Linked DNA regions of Arabidopsis thaliana. The protein of the gene in region 1 interacts with the protein of each later gene in a pairwise test. Each region holds a gene or a part of one and is shown in the gene's direction. Other genes may lie near its edges.

Evidence for each region. The genes of interacting proteins can lie anywhere in the genome.
Region 2: the proteins of AT2G32840 (region 1) and HB-3 interact in a two-hybrid assay, tested with the Arabidopsis thaliana proteins (one large-scale study listed by BioGRID).
Region 3: the proteins of AT2G32840 (region 1) and MAP70-5 interact in a two-hybrid assay, tested with the Arabidopsis thaliana proteins (one large-scale study listed by BioGRID).

Annotation. Positions count from the first base shown.
Region 1 is NC_003071.7:13,932,295-13,936,909, reverse strand, and holds AT2G32840 (proline-rich family protein), read left to right. Parts: upstream 1-1,960; 5' UTR 1,961-2,073; coding exon 2,074-2,628; intron 2,629-2,871; coding exon 2,872-2,924; intron 2,925-3,014; coding exon 3,015-3,054; intron 3,055-3,151; coding exon 3,152-3,229; intron 3,230-3,332; coding exon 3,333-3,446; coding exon of another isoform or gene 3,447-3,482; exon of another isoform or gene 3,483-3,539; coding exon 3,540-3,619; intron 3,620-3,715; coding exon 3,716-3,809; 3' UTR 3,810-4,071; downstream 4,072-4,615. Other genes in the region: AT2G32850 (Protein kinase superfamily protein), read left to right, coding at 1-63, 143-236, 315-979, 1,076-1,462.
Region 2 is NC_003071.7:14,340,876-14,345,528, reverse strand, and holds HB-3 (homeobox-3), read left to right. Parts: upstream 1-1,750; 5' UTR 1,751-1,931; coding exon 1,932-2,058; intron 2,059-2,143; coding exon 2,144-2,965; intron 2,966-3,274; coding exon 3,275-3,492; 3' UTR 3,493-3,884; coding exon of another isoform or gene 3,885-3,890; 3' UTR 3,891-4,107; downstream 4,108-4,653. UniProt on the Arabidopsis thaliana protein: Homeodomain transcription factor required for meristem growth and early development. Promotes cell proliferation and prevents premature differentiation in meristematic tissues during postembryonic development.
Region 3 is NC_003075.7:9,656,106-9,661,415, reverse strand, and holds MAP70-5 (microtubule-associated proteins 70-5), read left to right. Parts: upstream 1-1,839; 5' UTR 1,840-2,010; coding exon 2,011-2,071; intron 2,072-2,167; coding exon 2,168-2,253; intron 2,254-2,409; coding exon 2,410-2,475; intron 2,476-2,574; coding exon 2,575-2,745; intron 2,746-2,829; coding exon 2,830-3,156; intron 3,157-3,238; coding exon 3,239-3,385; intron 3,386-3,477; coding exon 3,478-3,549; intron 3,550-3,617; coding exon 3,618-4,049; intron 4,050-4,124; coding exon 4,125-4,276; intron 4,277-4,380; coding exon 4,381-4,408; 3' UTR 4,409-4,764; downstream 4,765-5,310. Other genes in the region: SCL13 (SCARECROW-like 13), read left to right, coding at 1-198; AT4G17215 (Pollen Ole e 1 allergen and extensin family protein), read right to left, coding at 4,991-5,268. UniProt on the Arabidopsis thaliana protein: Plant-specific protein that interact with microtubules and regulates microtubule dynamics. May play a role in anisotropic cell expansion and organ growth.

The DNA of each region.
Region 1 (4,615 bases):
ATTACGGATCTCATCAAAGAAATGCTCCAAGCTTCACCCGATGAACGACCAGATATTACACAGGTTAAAAGTCAATTTTTACTCATTGTTTCTTCTCAGTTGAGGAAATGTAAAATGTCTCTAACAACATGTCCATCTACAGATTTGGTTTCGTGTCAATGAGCAGCTTCCTGCTAATTTACAGAAATCATTACCGGATCGACCACCTGAAATGCAATCTACTGGAGTCCATGATGGTATAGTGAATAAAACCTATTTTGGATAGCTTCTCAAAGAAAGATGTGATTTCTTTTGATCCTTATGAATTTTGACAGGCTCATCAAAATCAGCAACTAAACCTTCTCCAGCACCTCGTAGAAGTCCGCCACCGCCGCCACCATCTTCTGGAGAATCAGATAGTGGAGGACCGCTCGGTGCCTTTTGGGCGACTCAGCATGCTAAAACCTCAGTTGTATCAGAAGATAACAAAAACATGCCTAAATTTGATGAACCAAACAGTAACACATCTAAATCTGAAAGAGTTCGTGTGGATAGTCATCAACCCAAAAAACCAAGTCCTGTGAGAGGAGAGGCTCGTGGTATTCAAAGAAATAAAGATCTTGAAACTACGATTTCTCAGAAGAATACAACTCCTGCTGCAGCCAATAACATGACAAGAGTGTCCAAGGATGATGCCTTCAACTCGTTTGTTGCTGACTTTGATACCACAAAGTTCGATAATGGTAATAAACCTGGCAAAGAAGAGGCATTGGAAGCTGAGATACAGAGGTTAAAAGACGAGTTGAAGCAAACAAAATCAGAGAAGGCAGAAATAACTGCTAAGTTTGAAAAGCTTTCTGCTATCTGCAGATCGCAAAGGCAAGAGTTGCAGGATCTCAAACAAACACTTGCCTCTAAAAGTGCCTCACCGTCACCGAGCAGAGACTCTTCACAAAATCAACCCTCTCCAGGGATGCATTCCATGTCATCAACTCCATCGGTATTATTCTTGGTTCTTGTTCATCTAAGCTTAGACACCCATACAAAAGTCTTCATCAATGTATATCTTAGAATTCTAATGTTCTTGATGAAACAGAGAGATAAGATGGAAGGAACAATGTGGGAACTTCAACAGGACAGATCTAACTGGTCAACTGGCAGCTCTGATACAAATTCATGGCAACCTTTTAGTGATGAAGCGAAACCCGTGATGGAATCTGCATCAAAGGGTAACAATAATACGATTAATCAGTCTGTGAGAACCAGAAGTAAACCAGCTTCTGCTGCAGGTACTCAAGGTTTTGAGCCATGGGGTTTCGAGACAGAATCCTTTAGAGCCGCTGCAACGTCTGCAGCTGCTACTTCTGCATCTGGAACACAAAGATCTATGGGCTCTGGAAACAGCACTTCACAGAGATATGGGAACTCAAAGATGAGAGAAAACCAGAAAACAGCTCAACCTGCTGGATGGGCCGGCTTCTAAAACTCACTCAGATGCGCATTGCTATTTCTTCCTCATGCAACAACAACAGCTTCATGTTGCTGCCATTACAGAATCTTGAATCTTTTTGTAGATGATGATCATCCCCTGTTTTTGTGCTGCTGCTAAATATACCCCACCCATATCCATTATGTTTTATGTAGAGTCTTAAACTTTACACATTCTCTGAGCTGTGGCCAGATATCTCAGCTTATGGATTATTATTGGAAAAATAAATAATTCAAGATTCAGACAGCTTACACTTCTTTCTGTGAAACTTAGAACTAAGGTCACATTTAATACCGAACCCAACCATACGATGGCTGCATTATGGTTTAAATGTTACCCAAAAAGATTTCAGCCGTAACTAAATCAGCATTTTAAAATCCTGGATTAATTTTCGTTAATGTAAATCTCACATTGAACCGGACCCGAGTAGAAAAAAGTAAAAAACCGAACCAAAACATTAAATACCGAGCCCTAGTTTAGTTAGTTAGAAGGAACTTAAAAAGAGTTCGTGTCCTGAAAATCAAAGAAAAAGCTACCAAATTTTGAATCGTTGTCTTTAACTTGATTTTCCCCAAATTTCTCAGAAATCAAAATCCGCCGGAACAATGTCTACTCCCGATCCCAATCCCAATCCAAATCCAAATCCTTCCGTCTCTGTAGCAGTATCGACTCCAATCGTCACCGCATCTGAATCTCCGGTGACACAACCTAACACAGTCATAACGCCGTCGTCTCAACCTCAACCTCAAACACCAGCTTCGTCGTACAGAGCCATAGCTCCGCTTCATCGTCATCATCCTCATCAAAATATCTACACTAACCCTTTACCGATTAGGCGTTCGAATTCCGTTACTAATTCGCCTCATCAGCCTCCTCACCCAGACCCGTCTAGTCTGATATACCCGTTTGGTTCTTCGGGTCGAGGGTTTCCGACCCGACCCGTTAGACAGAATTCCAATTCCGTCGCTGATCCAGTTGGTAGTCCTAGTCCAGGTGGGTATACTCCTCGAGGGCCAGTTTACGGATACCACCATGGCCAATTCGTGTCGAATTTGGATCCAATGAATCAGTTCATGAGAGCTGCACATCCTCAGAATCAACAATCTCCTCAACTTGGTTCCGGTCATATGAAAGGAGTTCCTCATTTTTTGCAACCTCGGGTTAGTTATCGTTTTCGTTACCAAAACAAGTTTGAATCTTTTTGTTTAATTCCATAGTTTTGTCAAGTGTTTTTTTTGTAGCTTGTGCTAGTTAGTGAAAATGTGTATGTTGAAGTGAAGATTATTTGCTTTGGTGATTGTAGAATTCGAATAGCAATCTCTAATGAATTAGGAAAGGTTGAAACTTCTGTTAGATATTTGTGTGAGGTTACATTTTGTAAATTTTGGATTTTTGATTGTTAGGCTACTCCTTCTCCAACTTCAATTCTAGACAACAGTGGGCATAAGAAGGCCAGGTACTTTATCTTCTTTGCCATTATGCTTTGTTAATTAGAAACTACTCTAGAAACTTAATAATGTCTCTGTTTCGTTTCCATGGTGTTTAGGAGCCGGGATGATGCTCTGGTCCTCGTTAGAAAAAGAAAGGTATAGTTTTATCCTTGTTTTTTGGTTTTGCATTATCGTTCGAAACCGCTTGCTTCGCCATTTGAGGAATTTTAAATACTTTTTATTTGTTCTGCAGGTTAGAATAACCGAGGGAGCTTCTTTATACTCGCTGTGTCGATCTTGGTTGAGAAATGGTGCTCATGAGGGAATTAAGGTTCGTATCCATTTCTTATTTCTGCTTTGTAGTATAATGCAACACTTGGATTTTTGTATATCTATTCTTGATATCTTTGGAAGATTAATGACGTTGTTTACAGCCGCAGCGAATTGATATGATGACATGTTTGCCAAAGCCTTTACCTGTGGACAAGACGGAGACAAGTTTGCCAAAAGATTTAGTTGAAGAAGCAATTTGCGAAGAAGACAAAGAGGTTTCGTGTTTCTCTGATTTCTTTCTAAAATGGTAATTGTGAAGGGTAAAGCTAAGTTTGATTATTTACTTCAACTCTCTTGATGAGCTTCAGGACGAGGAATCTGTGAAACATTTGTCAGAATCTGATCTTTTGAAAAGACATATAGACCGAGCTAAGAAGGTCCGCGCTCGGTGAGTCCCACAACATATCATCAAAGCTAAGTTCGATGGTTGAAGATTGAATATTTTTTGTTTTGAACAAAATTGTGTGGTTTGTTTTGTTTGCAGATTGAGAGAAGAACGGTTAAAGAGAATCGCGAGGTACAAGGCAAGATTGGCTCTTCTTCTGCCACCCTTTGGAGAGCAATGCAGGAACGAGTAATGATTTTAAAGTTAGGGACTTCGGTGTGAATATACTTGCAGTTGATTTAGAAATGACATAAATTATCTTAGAGCCAGAGTTATGTCTTATGTCTGTGTGTAATATAAGAAAGATTTTCTCTGAATTTTCGTCATACACTCGTATTAGATGATTCTAAACTAATCAACAATCTCAAGATTTTCTGAGATGGTTAACTTATATAGCTCTTATCTTTTTTTTTTTTCAAGAACACCTAGTAGTTCTTGGACAAGTAAAATTTTCAATATAGTATTCGGTCATGGTGGGTCGACCATGTTTTGAACGCTGGATCGATCATCATGTGGTCGGACGATCATAATTTCAGAGATTGATCGACCATCCTTGGAAGCACGAACACATTTAGTCATGTGTTTGAATTTTCTTTTATCTTATTTGTTTCCAACTCCCAAATGATACGAAATGTCACAAAAACTCTTAAAATCACTACATAATCTAAGACTTCCTAAGACACAAATACTCCTATGGACATTAAAACAAGATTTTATCAACAGTGAAGCCATATTATCATCACTGTAGTTCTGAAAATGCCATATTGCCCAAAGTCTTTTCTAGCTAGTATGCCATAGTGGCTAACATCTTCTTCTTTCTTTTCATCTCTCTAAATAAGCAAAAAATTGAGAGGCTTTCTCTTCCTCTTCTATTCCTCTCCAACATAGTATTCATTCTCTCCTCATCTCATCTCTTGTTTCTTTTCAGCCGGAGCTTGTGCCGATGGTTCTACGTCGATCTCACTCTCTCAACGACGAAGAAAACATCCCCCAAAGCCT
Region 2 (4,653 bases), 410 kb from region 1:
CCAGAAACTACATGATTTTATTTTTTTGTAATACAAGCAAATAATAAAAACCCATCTTGTTATAGTTAATAAATAAACATAAAATGTGAGAAAATTTACAATCTTTCTGTCTTGTTTTAATTAATGTTTTTTTTTGAGATGTCAGAGGAGAAAATAATAAAAAGGAGAAAAAATCCTAGTTCAGAACCAAACATGGATCACTTTCAAAGAATCTGTTGTTTCAATTTCTGAAGAAATTTGTGTTCGTACGTTTGAACTGCAGAAGCAGTTTGGAGTTTAATGCAAGAAGTGTAAGGAAGTGAGGCATGGGGTTGCATTAATGATCACTTTGAGTTTCTTCCTGTCTCTTACTGTTTTCTATCTCAGAAATTGATATTAGGAATGTGAATAACAAAACAAACGAATGAAATACCATGCAAACTCTAATATGGATGTAGTAACAGAAAATCTGTATTGCTCTACTAATTAAATTTTTTAATTTAGTAATATGAATTCAGAGTCTATTAGTATAAACCTAAAGTAAACAGAAATTTTTGGAGTGCGCTTCAAATACCCTTGTAAAATTACAGATGACTTTGTATGGCAACTTTTTAAAATTGCTAAAATAATTTCTTATAATAAATATTGAATATTTTTAAATAATTCAGTACCCACTCTATAAATCTATATAACTAGTCTCTCTCTTTTTTTTTTTTTTTGGGCACATATAACTAGTCTCTCTATCAGTTATTTTCATATGGATTTTGGATTTTTTTGTACATATATGAAAAACACAAATGATAAAATTATTTAATGGTATTAAGCATTCGCCACAGGGTATGCTATCAATTTGGTCATTTGTGAGTGAGATTGATATGGTTTGGGGCTAATTCAGTGAAGCTCCTTCGGACTCTCAAAGTGGTTTATTAGACAGTGTGAATGCATGCGGTCTTCTATTTGTTTGCGAGGCTAAAAGAAACGCTCATGATACACAACTAATCAAATGACTGTTGAAGAAATTTAAGATTTCCAAAATTGTCTTCTTCTATTTGTTATTGAAGTATTGGTCAATCCATCAGTGATTTAACGTTATAGCAATATAGGCTACTCGTCGACTAGCACATTTTGACGTACTTAAATACTAACCTTGTCACTCTTTTTTTAATACTGTAATAATGCCTTTTGAATTTCCATTGGTGATATACACATTTTCCCACTAGATGACACTAAAGGGAACTAACCCCTAAAACAGTTTTTATTTTATCATAATTGAACCATGACAAGCAAAACTGGATTCAAATCTAAAATGTCAAAGTGCTCCTCATAATCTATATATAAGCGATCAAAGACCTTCTATAGAATTAATAAATTTACTTTTTAATGCAATTTTTTTTGTTCAAAACTATTTAATGCAAGTATGCAACTAAATCATACTGTTTGACTGAAGTAGTTAATAATAAAACGTAATGAAAACAGTGTTCCTATTTTCTTTTATAACATTTCTGTTAATAGGATTTAGCCTACTTCTCTAATTCATTTGATTCCCTAAACAAGAGAAGTAGTGATAGTTTTTTTTGTCTTTACTAAACATATACACATAATGATATAGATACACATCTATACATCATAGATAGATACATAGATATAGAGAGAAAGAGAAATGGTGTATAGAAATATGGGTGAGACTTTAAATTAAATTTATGTAAAAGAGATGAATGAATATATGAAAACAGGTTGGGTAGGTGAAGAGAGGCTATAAGAGGGAGAGAAAGAGGTCGTAACCCTTTTGCCCTATTCACATTTTTATTTATCTTTCCATTTAGCCATTCTGTTCCCTGTCTCTTCCTCCTCTCTTTTTGACACATCACATCATCATCACATCATCATTCAACATCAATCATCATCATATGCATACACATACATCTGTGTTCTGCGGATCGAGTTAATTAGTTATGGCTTCTTCGAATAGACACTGGCCAAGCATGTTCAAGTCCAAACCTCATCCCCATCAATGGCAACATGACATCAACTCTCCTCTCTTGCCTTCTGCTTCTCACCGATCTTCTCCTTTCTCTTCAGGTCCTTCTACTTCTACATATTTACCAATTCAAAACTAAATTTTGTTTTAAAGAACTCTTATCTGATGAGATTGTGAATTTTTTAGGATGTGAAGTGGAGAGGAGTCCAGAGCCAAAACCAAGATGGAATCCAAAGCCAGAGCAGATTCGGATACTTGAAGCAATCTTTAACTCCGGGATGGTGAATCCTCCAAGAGAGGAGATCAGGAGGATTAGGGCTCAGCTTCAAGAATACGGCCAAGTCGGTGATGCTAACGTCTTCTACTGGTTCCAAAACCGTAAGTCCCGTAGTAAACACAAACTCCGCCTCCTCCACAACCACTCCAAACACTCTCTCCCTCAAACGCAACCGCAGCCGCAGCCGCAACCTTCGGCTTCCTCTTCCTCTTCCTCCTCCTCTTCCTCCTCCAAATCCACCAAACCCCGAAAAAGCAAGAACAAGAACAACACTAATCTCTCTTTGGGTGGTAGTCAAATGATGGGGATGTTTCCACCGGAACCGGCGTTTCTCTTCCCGGTCTCCACTGTCGGAGGGTTTGAAGGTATCACCGTCTCATCCCAATTAGGGTTTCTCTCCGGTGATATGATTGAGCAACAAAAACCGGCTCCAACGTGTACCGGACTCCTGCTGAGTGAGATCATGAACGGTAGTGTGAGTTATGGAACTCATCATCAACAACACTTGAGTGAGAAAGAAGTTGAAGAAATGAGGATGAAGATGTTGCAACAGCCACAGACTCAGATTTGTTACGCTACCACTAATCATCAAATAGCTTCTTACAACAACAACAACAACAACAATAACATCATGCTTCATATTCCTCCCACTACTTCTACTGCCACCACTATTACTACTTCGCATTCTCTCGCTACTGTCCCATCAACTTCGGACCAGCTTCAAGTTCAAGGTAATGTTAATATATAAAGTTATCACCCTTTTTAAGTTATAGATTACTTATATACATGTTGAAATTTTACTCAATCGTAGAGATACATTAATTTTGTGTCAACAATGTAAGGGACACATTGATCCATACAAATCTTTTTTTAAAACCTTCATGTTTAGTAGCCTTTAGATGATTCTTTATTTCTATATACCCTCTCTCTCTTTCTTGAAAATAGATTGTGTGAGCTTTACAATTTTGTTTTATATAGATTGTTATAGTCATTATACTAACATGAAATAATGGGATAACAATGGCTAAATATGGATGCAGCGGACGCACGAATAAGAGTTTTCATCAATGAAATGGAGCTTGAAGTGAGCTCAGGACCGTTCAATGTGAGGGATGCATTTGGGGAAGAGGTTGTTCTGATTAATTCCGCGGGTCAGCCCATTGTCACCGATGAATATGGCGTCGCTCTTCACCCTCTTCAACACGGAGCCTCGTACTATCTGGTTTTGTTTCCTCTCTATTTTCCTTTGTTATACTAATTAAGGTTCCACTATAGCTAGATACTACTCTATCGGTTAAATAAACTATGGTAAAATGAATACTTATTTAATGTCTATATAATTATAGTTTATACATCTATATTAGTACTAGTTTATTTCTTCATTGGGATCTAAAATGGATAAATGCATGCGAGAGACATGTTGTTTGGCTTAGGTCAACAATGTTGACTCAATCTAATTTAATTACACACACACACCTTGCGCTTCTTTAGAGCATTCATTGGGGTTTTTTTTCTTTTTTTGGCCTTCGTGTATTTTGACTTTTGTAGTATAAATTCTAATACTACCATATTTCGGAGGATGTGCCTGCATGTGTGTGTATATAATTGTTTATGTGATTTAATTTCGAGGTCTCTTTTCTGCTTTTGCAGATCTAGTCGTGTGGGAGATTTGAGTTTGAAGAAGAAATTAAGACCTGTCTCTTTCTTTCACCATCTCTCGTACGTAGGCTTAAATGTTAAGATTTTATAAAGTATTGGTTTCAGTTACCTGTTGTGACGGTGTTTATGTATGAGTTTCGGACAACATTCACAAAACTCTCTCGTTAAATTGTTGACCAATAATATATGATGTGTGTTTCATTATTATCTAAAGAAATCTATAATGTTGTTCTGTTTCTTCTTCTTGAAAAATTGATTATATATGTGGAATTGTTAAACAATGCGCTAATATGGGGATGAGTAATGTAGAAGCATCACATCACCCAGTGTGAAAGTGAATTAGGTCATGCGTTATGTTTAGTGTTTAGACTGTGATGTAAGGTTTACATGCGGGAAGTAGGGAACTTTGACTACAGTTCACGTGTGAGGTGATATTTCACTTTAATCCCGGGGATTAAAACGTTACATTAATATAATTATTATACTACACCTAATCCATCCCCTCTTCAGAAATGCATTATTACACTAATATAATTATTAATTATAAATTATAGACGGTTCACTCATTTTTATATAAAAAATCAATAAATAAATATGTACTCTATCAAATATATTACCCTTTAAAATTAAAAATGTATGAAAATTCGATTTCAAAGATGATTTAGTTCTTTTAATATAAAAATGCGTCGAATGATGATAGTACGAAAAAAATAGTTTCAGTTATTTTAGATAAAATTAATTAGTAAATATTGCTTTGAAC
Region 3 (5,310 bases), on another chromosome or scaffold:
GGGATATGGAGGGTCAGAATGATGATGGCTGGGTTCACGGGTTGGCCGGTCAGCACATCTGCAGCGTTTGCAGCGAGTGAGATGCTGAAAGCTTATGACAAAAACTACAAACTGGGAGGCCATGAAGGAGCGCTCTACCTCTTCTGGAAGAGACGACCCATGGCTACATGTTCCGTGTGGAAGCCAAACCCAAACTAGATTGGGTAAGTTATAGTGATGATGGTTACTTGAGTGGATAAAGAAGAGCACAACAAAAACACATCTGTCGCTGTAAATTTTTTAGGATGTGCAATGATGTTTTAAGTTGTAACACAACCTAAGTTATATATGTATACAAACCAAACCTGGTGGTTGTTTTTCTCTTGTAAATTGTCATGTGGTTGTGGGTGGGTTGCTAGTAATGAAATATAACCAAAACATTGATTAGGTCATTTTATGATCTTCTTCTATATATACCGGTATAAGTCAACTGGCGGCTGAACAAAGGTCGTGAGGTAACAAAATATGAGACAAATCTACAGGTCAGATTGGGTTCTGAATTCTGATAAGGTCTTAAAAAGGAGCTCACCAACCCACAAAACCATGGATTGAACAAGTACAGGTCATTGCCTTCATTTTATTCTTTACTTTTCTAAGGCTCAAGCTTCCTTTATTGCCTTTAATAACAATATACTAATGAGTATTTTGCACTCAGTAACAAAATTCAGGAGAGTAATTTTTTGCCCTAACATGTTACTTTTATGTGTTAAGAGTTTAGAATTTTGGATCTATGATTTTAGTTTTTGTTAGGGAATCATATTCATATAAATAAAATATTGCCATTGACTTAATTGTTGTTATTCACCTAATTTCTCTCCAAATTTGGTCATTTACCTCAGTTGATTCTATATTATACTTGCTAAGTGTTCTTTGTCTAATTCTCTATCATTGTTTGATTTAATAATAACCAAACCTTAAGACTTGGAAGCAAAGAAGAGAGAAAATCCCAATTAATTTTTAATAATTCAAAGAGAGATATTGAGTGACTTCCACTAATACAAAGAAAGCTTGGTTTGTGCAATATTTTGCGGTTAAGCTATTAATTGCTGAGGCAACACCTTTTCACACTTTGCTTTCCTTCTTCCAAGTTTTCAACTTTTCTTTCTTACTCTTTCTATTAATCAAACTGCAACACAAAAATCATTTGGATAATACATGTTTAGAAGATGATTAAGCTTTAGTTTTATTTCAAGATTATCATAATTGTTATCTGTTGTTACCTACATTCATATAATCTTATCAAAAACGATAAAGACAAAAAGGGGATACAATATAGGTTTTTATTATAAAGAAACAGGAAAGAAAGAAAAGGGTTTTCACCAAACGAAATTAGTTCAATCATTTAAATTATCTTTATCCTTATGATTAGTGTCTTTATATCTGTCATATGCTGCTTCTCCTTCCAACTTCCTTTGGATTATATTCTCTTCTCTTTATTTTAATTTCCATTTGTGGTAGCTGTTTTATTTTTTGTATTTTCACGCCGTGTCCCTTTAAAATAATATTAACTACACCACTAATGTTGGAACATGAAAAACATGAATGAGGTAATTATGATGATGAACCAAATGTTAAGGACAAGCTCGGTGTAACTAAGAAGATAATTAGTGAAACAGAACAAGTCAATAACTTGTAAGCATTTCAGAATTGAAAATAAAGATAAGGGAGGATGAATATGAATTTAGTAAATGGGTAATGAAAGTGAAAGAAGAAGAGGGAAGGGTTGGTTACTGTCTCAAGGGTTTGAAATGGAGACGGTTGCTTGAGAATGAGGAAAAAGAGTTAGTAAGTTTTTAACTCTCTCTTTCTCTCTCCCTCTCTCTTTTTCAACGTCAATTCCTTTAAGGAATGGCCTCTCTCTCTCTCTGAAAGTGTGTGTGTATATATTAAACGACTCCATTTCTCCTCTGCTTAGACCAAAACTCATCTTCTATACTGCAACAAAGAAGGAGGAGCCGTTGAGACTACAAAATGACTGCAGCAGAAAACCCTTTTGTATCTGACACCTCTTCTCTGCAAAGCCAGCTTAAAGGTTCTTATTTTTCTTTCTGTTTATTGTTCATCAACCCTTATGAGTAATTTGCTTGATGTTGAGGTTGTTCTGCTTTCTTTTAATTCCACTCTGCAGAAAAAGAGAAAGAGCTTTTGGCTGCTAAAGCTGAAGTTGAGGCTTTGAGAACAAATGAAGAGCTCAAAGACAGAGTCTTTAAGGAGGTAACATGCATGATGATCATCAACTCTGTTTGTGATTGTTCTACAAAAACTTTAAGTCAATCTTACCTATAAGTTTTTTTGATCAATGTTTTCCATATTCAAACTGTCCTTTTTGAGCTTCTTGAGCTCTATTGATGCTACTTGGTGTTGTTTCAGCTTAGAGAAAACGTGAGGAAGTTGGAGGAGAAACTTGGAGCCACCGAGAATCAAGTTGACCAAAAGGTGAGGTTTTGCTCAAATACTATAGACCATCTTTGTGAAGGACTCATGTCAAAACATTAGAAATGACTAGAATAAGTTAAGCTTGTGACATGATTGTAGGAGTTGGAGAGGAAGAAGCTAGAAGAAGAGAAGGAAGATGCATTGGCGGCACAGGACGCTGCAGAAGAAGCACTAAGGAGGGTTTACACTCACCAACAGGACGATGACTCTCTACCCCTAGAATCCATCATAGCTCCTCTTGAATCTCAGATCAAGATTCACAAGCATGAGGTTCTTAAGACTATATGTATTTCAAATTTCTTTCTTGTATCAGTGTGAAGTGCCAGATTTTCTTGACATGCTACTGTTTGACAGATTTCTGCACTTCAAGAGGACAAGAAAGCGTTGGAACGTCTAACAAAATCAAAAGAATCGGCGCTTCTTGAAGCAGAGAGAATCTTGAGAAGTGCCCTTGAACGTGCTTTGATTGTTGAAGAGGTCCAGAACCATAACTTTGAACTTCGACGACAGATTGAGATATGCCAGGATGAGAACAAGTTTCTTGAGAAAATTAACCGCCAGAAAGTGTTGGAGATTGAGAAGCTCTCCCAAAGCATTGTAGAACTGGAGGAAGCGATCTTGGCAGGAGGAACAGCCGCCAATGCAGTTCGAGACTATCGCCGCCAAATCTCCCAGCTCAATGCAAGTGTTCTGTTTAGTTTCTTGTACTTCATTCTCACATTTGTTTTAAAGGAAAATCACATGATTTTTTCATCGTTACCAGGATGAGAAGAGAACCTTAGAGAGAGAGCTAGCCAGAGTCAAAGTGTCAGCAAGTAGAGTGGCACTTGCAGTTGCTAACGAGTGGAAAGATGAGAACGATAGAGTCATGCCTGTAAAGCAATGGCTTGAAGAGAGAAGGATTCTCCATGTACTCACTGCTTTTCACTTACACATCCAGTTAATACACACTGACTAGCTTATATGGGAAACATTAGTGTTGAACTTTGTGTCTGTGTGCAGGGAGAAATGCAGAAATTGAAAGATAAACTCGCTGTTTCCGAGAGAACCGCTAAGGCTGAGTCCCAGCTAAAGGTGATTGCTTATGTAGTTAATATTCTGTTGGTAAAAAGTGTAGTTTCTAATGCAAGTAAACATTATAGGAGAGGTTAAAGCTTAGGCTGAAAACCATAGAAGATGGCTTGAAGGGCCCAAACACGTTTTTCGTCTCTCCAACTACAAAGACTGAAAAATCTGGCAAGATTTTAGGATTCTTGACCAGTGGTGGTGGCTCAAAGAAAAGGTCTAGTTCTCAGCTAAGAGGCTCAGTTACAGGCAGAATCCATGCTATGAATCAGCCAATTGACAGAGTTGGGGAAAGTGATGAAATGGAGAATTCAAAGATTACTGCAAACGGATTGACTGATCAACATGAAGAAGATAGCGAAAGGAAAACAGAGGAAGATGGAAATGTTTATTCTGAAGATATGGTTTCAGGGTTTTTATATGACAGGCTTCAGAAGGAAGTGATTGCTTTAAGGAAGCTATGTGAGAGTAAAGAGGGTACTATAAATGCCAAAAATGAAGAAATCAAGGTAACTTCATCATCTTCTTGTGGTTGTTTAAGATCCTCAACTATATGAAACCTCTTAAGATACCTCTGTTTTTAGATGTTGTTGAAGAAGGTGGATGCTCTAACGAAAGCCATTGAAGTTGAGACAAAGAAGGCAAAGAGGGAAGCCGCAGCGAGAGAAAAGGAAAACGCATTGGCAATGTTGAATGAAGAGTCAAAACTATGTAGAAAGGCAAAACTACCGAGAAGGTTTGGTCATCACATCCTTTGTTGTTTGTCTTTGTCTTTTGAGAAGTATACATAGTCAAACATCAAGACAGTTGATATTTATATGTTTATGCTATGTTGTGCAGCCGCATACCCAATCCACGTTGCCAGTAGAGGAAGAAGAAGCTTATGGGATTGAATACTAAAGAATATGGTCTAATGTTAGGTTGTACTGTACATATTGAGTATTGGATGATGGATTATAAGAAAGTGAAAACTAAAGATCAAGAGATGTGTATGTGTGTTATGTATATCGGATTGCAAAGCCATGTTTCCAGATGATGACACAAAACTCCTCTCTCTTCTCCTACCAATTAGTTGAATGTTAGCAATTATCTTGGAAACCTATAAGTAAATCAGAATCAGCTAAACACAAAAACATGCATATTCTCTCTCAAAGTCATACATAACCATATATGTCTTCTCTCAGATTTTTTGGTCTTGCCTTGGTTGTTAGGCTAACATAACAAACTTTGCATCTAATATATATATCATAATCAGTTACAGGATCGTATGATCTCTGTAGTAGCAAGAAGATCCAAGCTTGAAGAAAACATAAATTTTATTATATACAAGAAGAGCATGAAGAACAAGATTTACAAAGACTATCTCTCTTTCTCACAAGAAGTGAGAAGGAACCATATAGAAATAAAGTCAGGACTGATCTTTCCTAGCAAGATTAATTTACAGTCTCTTTTACATGGTGCTCTCTTGTAAGGTGATATTTCCAGCTGTATAGACACGAGAGCCGTTGGAAGAGGAGAGGAGTTGAATACCTCTGTGAATCTTGGAAGAGCATCGATACGGTTTAGGGACAGAGAGTGTTTTAATGATACAAGCCTTGTCTAAGTCAGGAATCGCGTGGAGGTGAGAAGGAAGATCGATGACGAATTGCCCCAACTCATTTGTCACAGCTTTGATCCATTTAGATCTCCTCCTATGTCCAGTATGGCACTTGAAGCCAATAGTAGCTCCTGTATGATGATGATGATGTGTTAGAAATCTCGTAGTATATA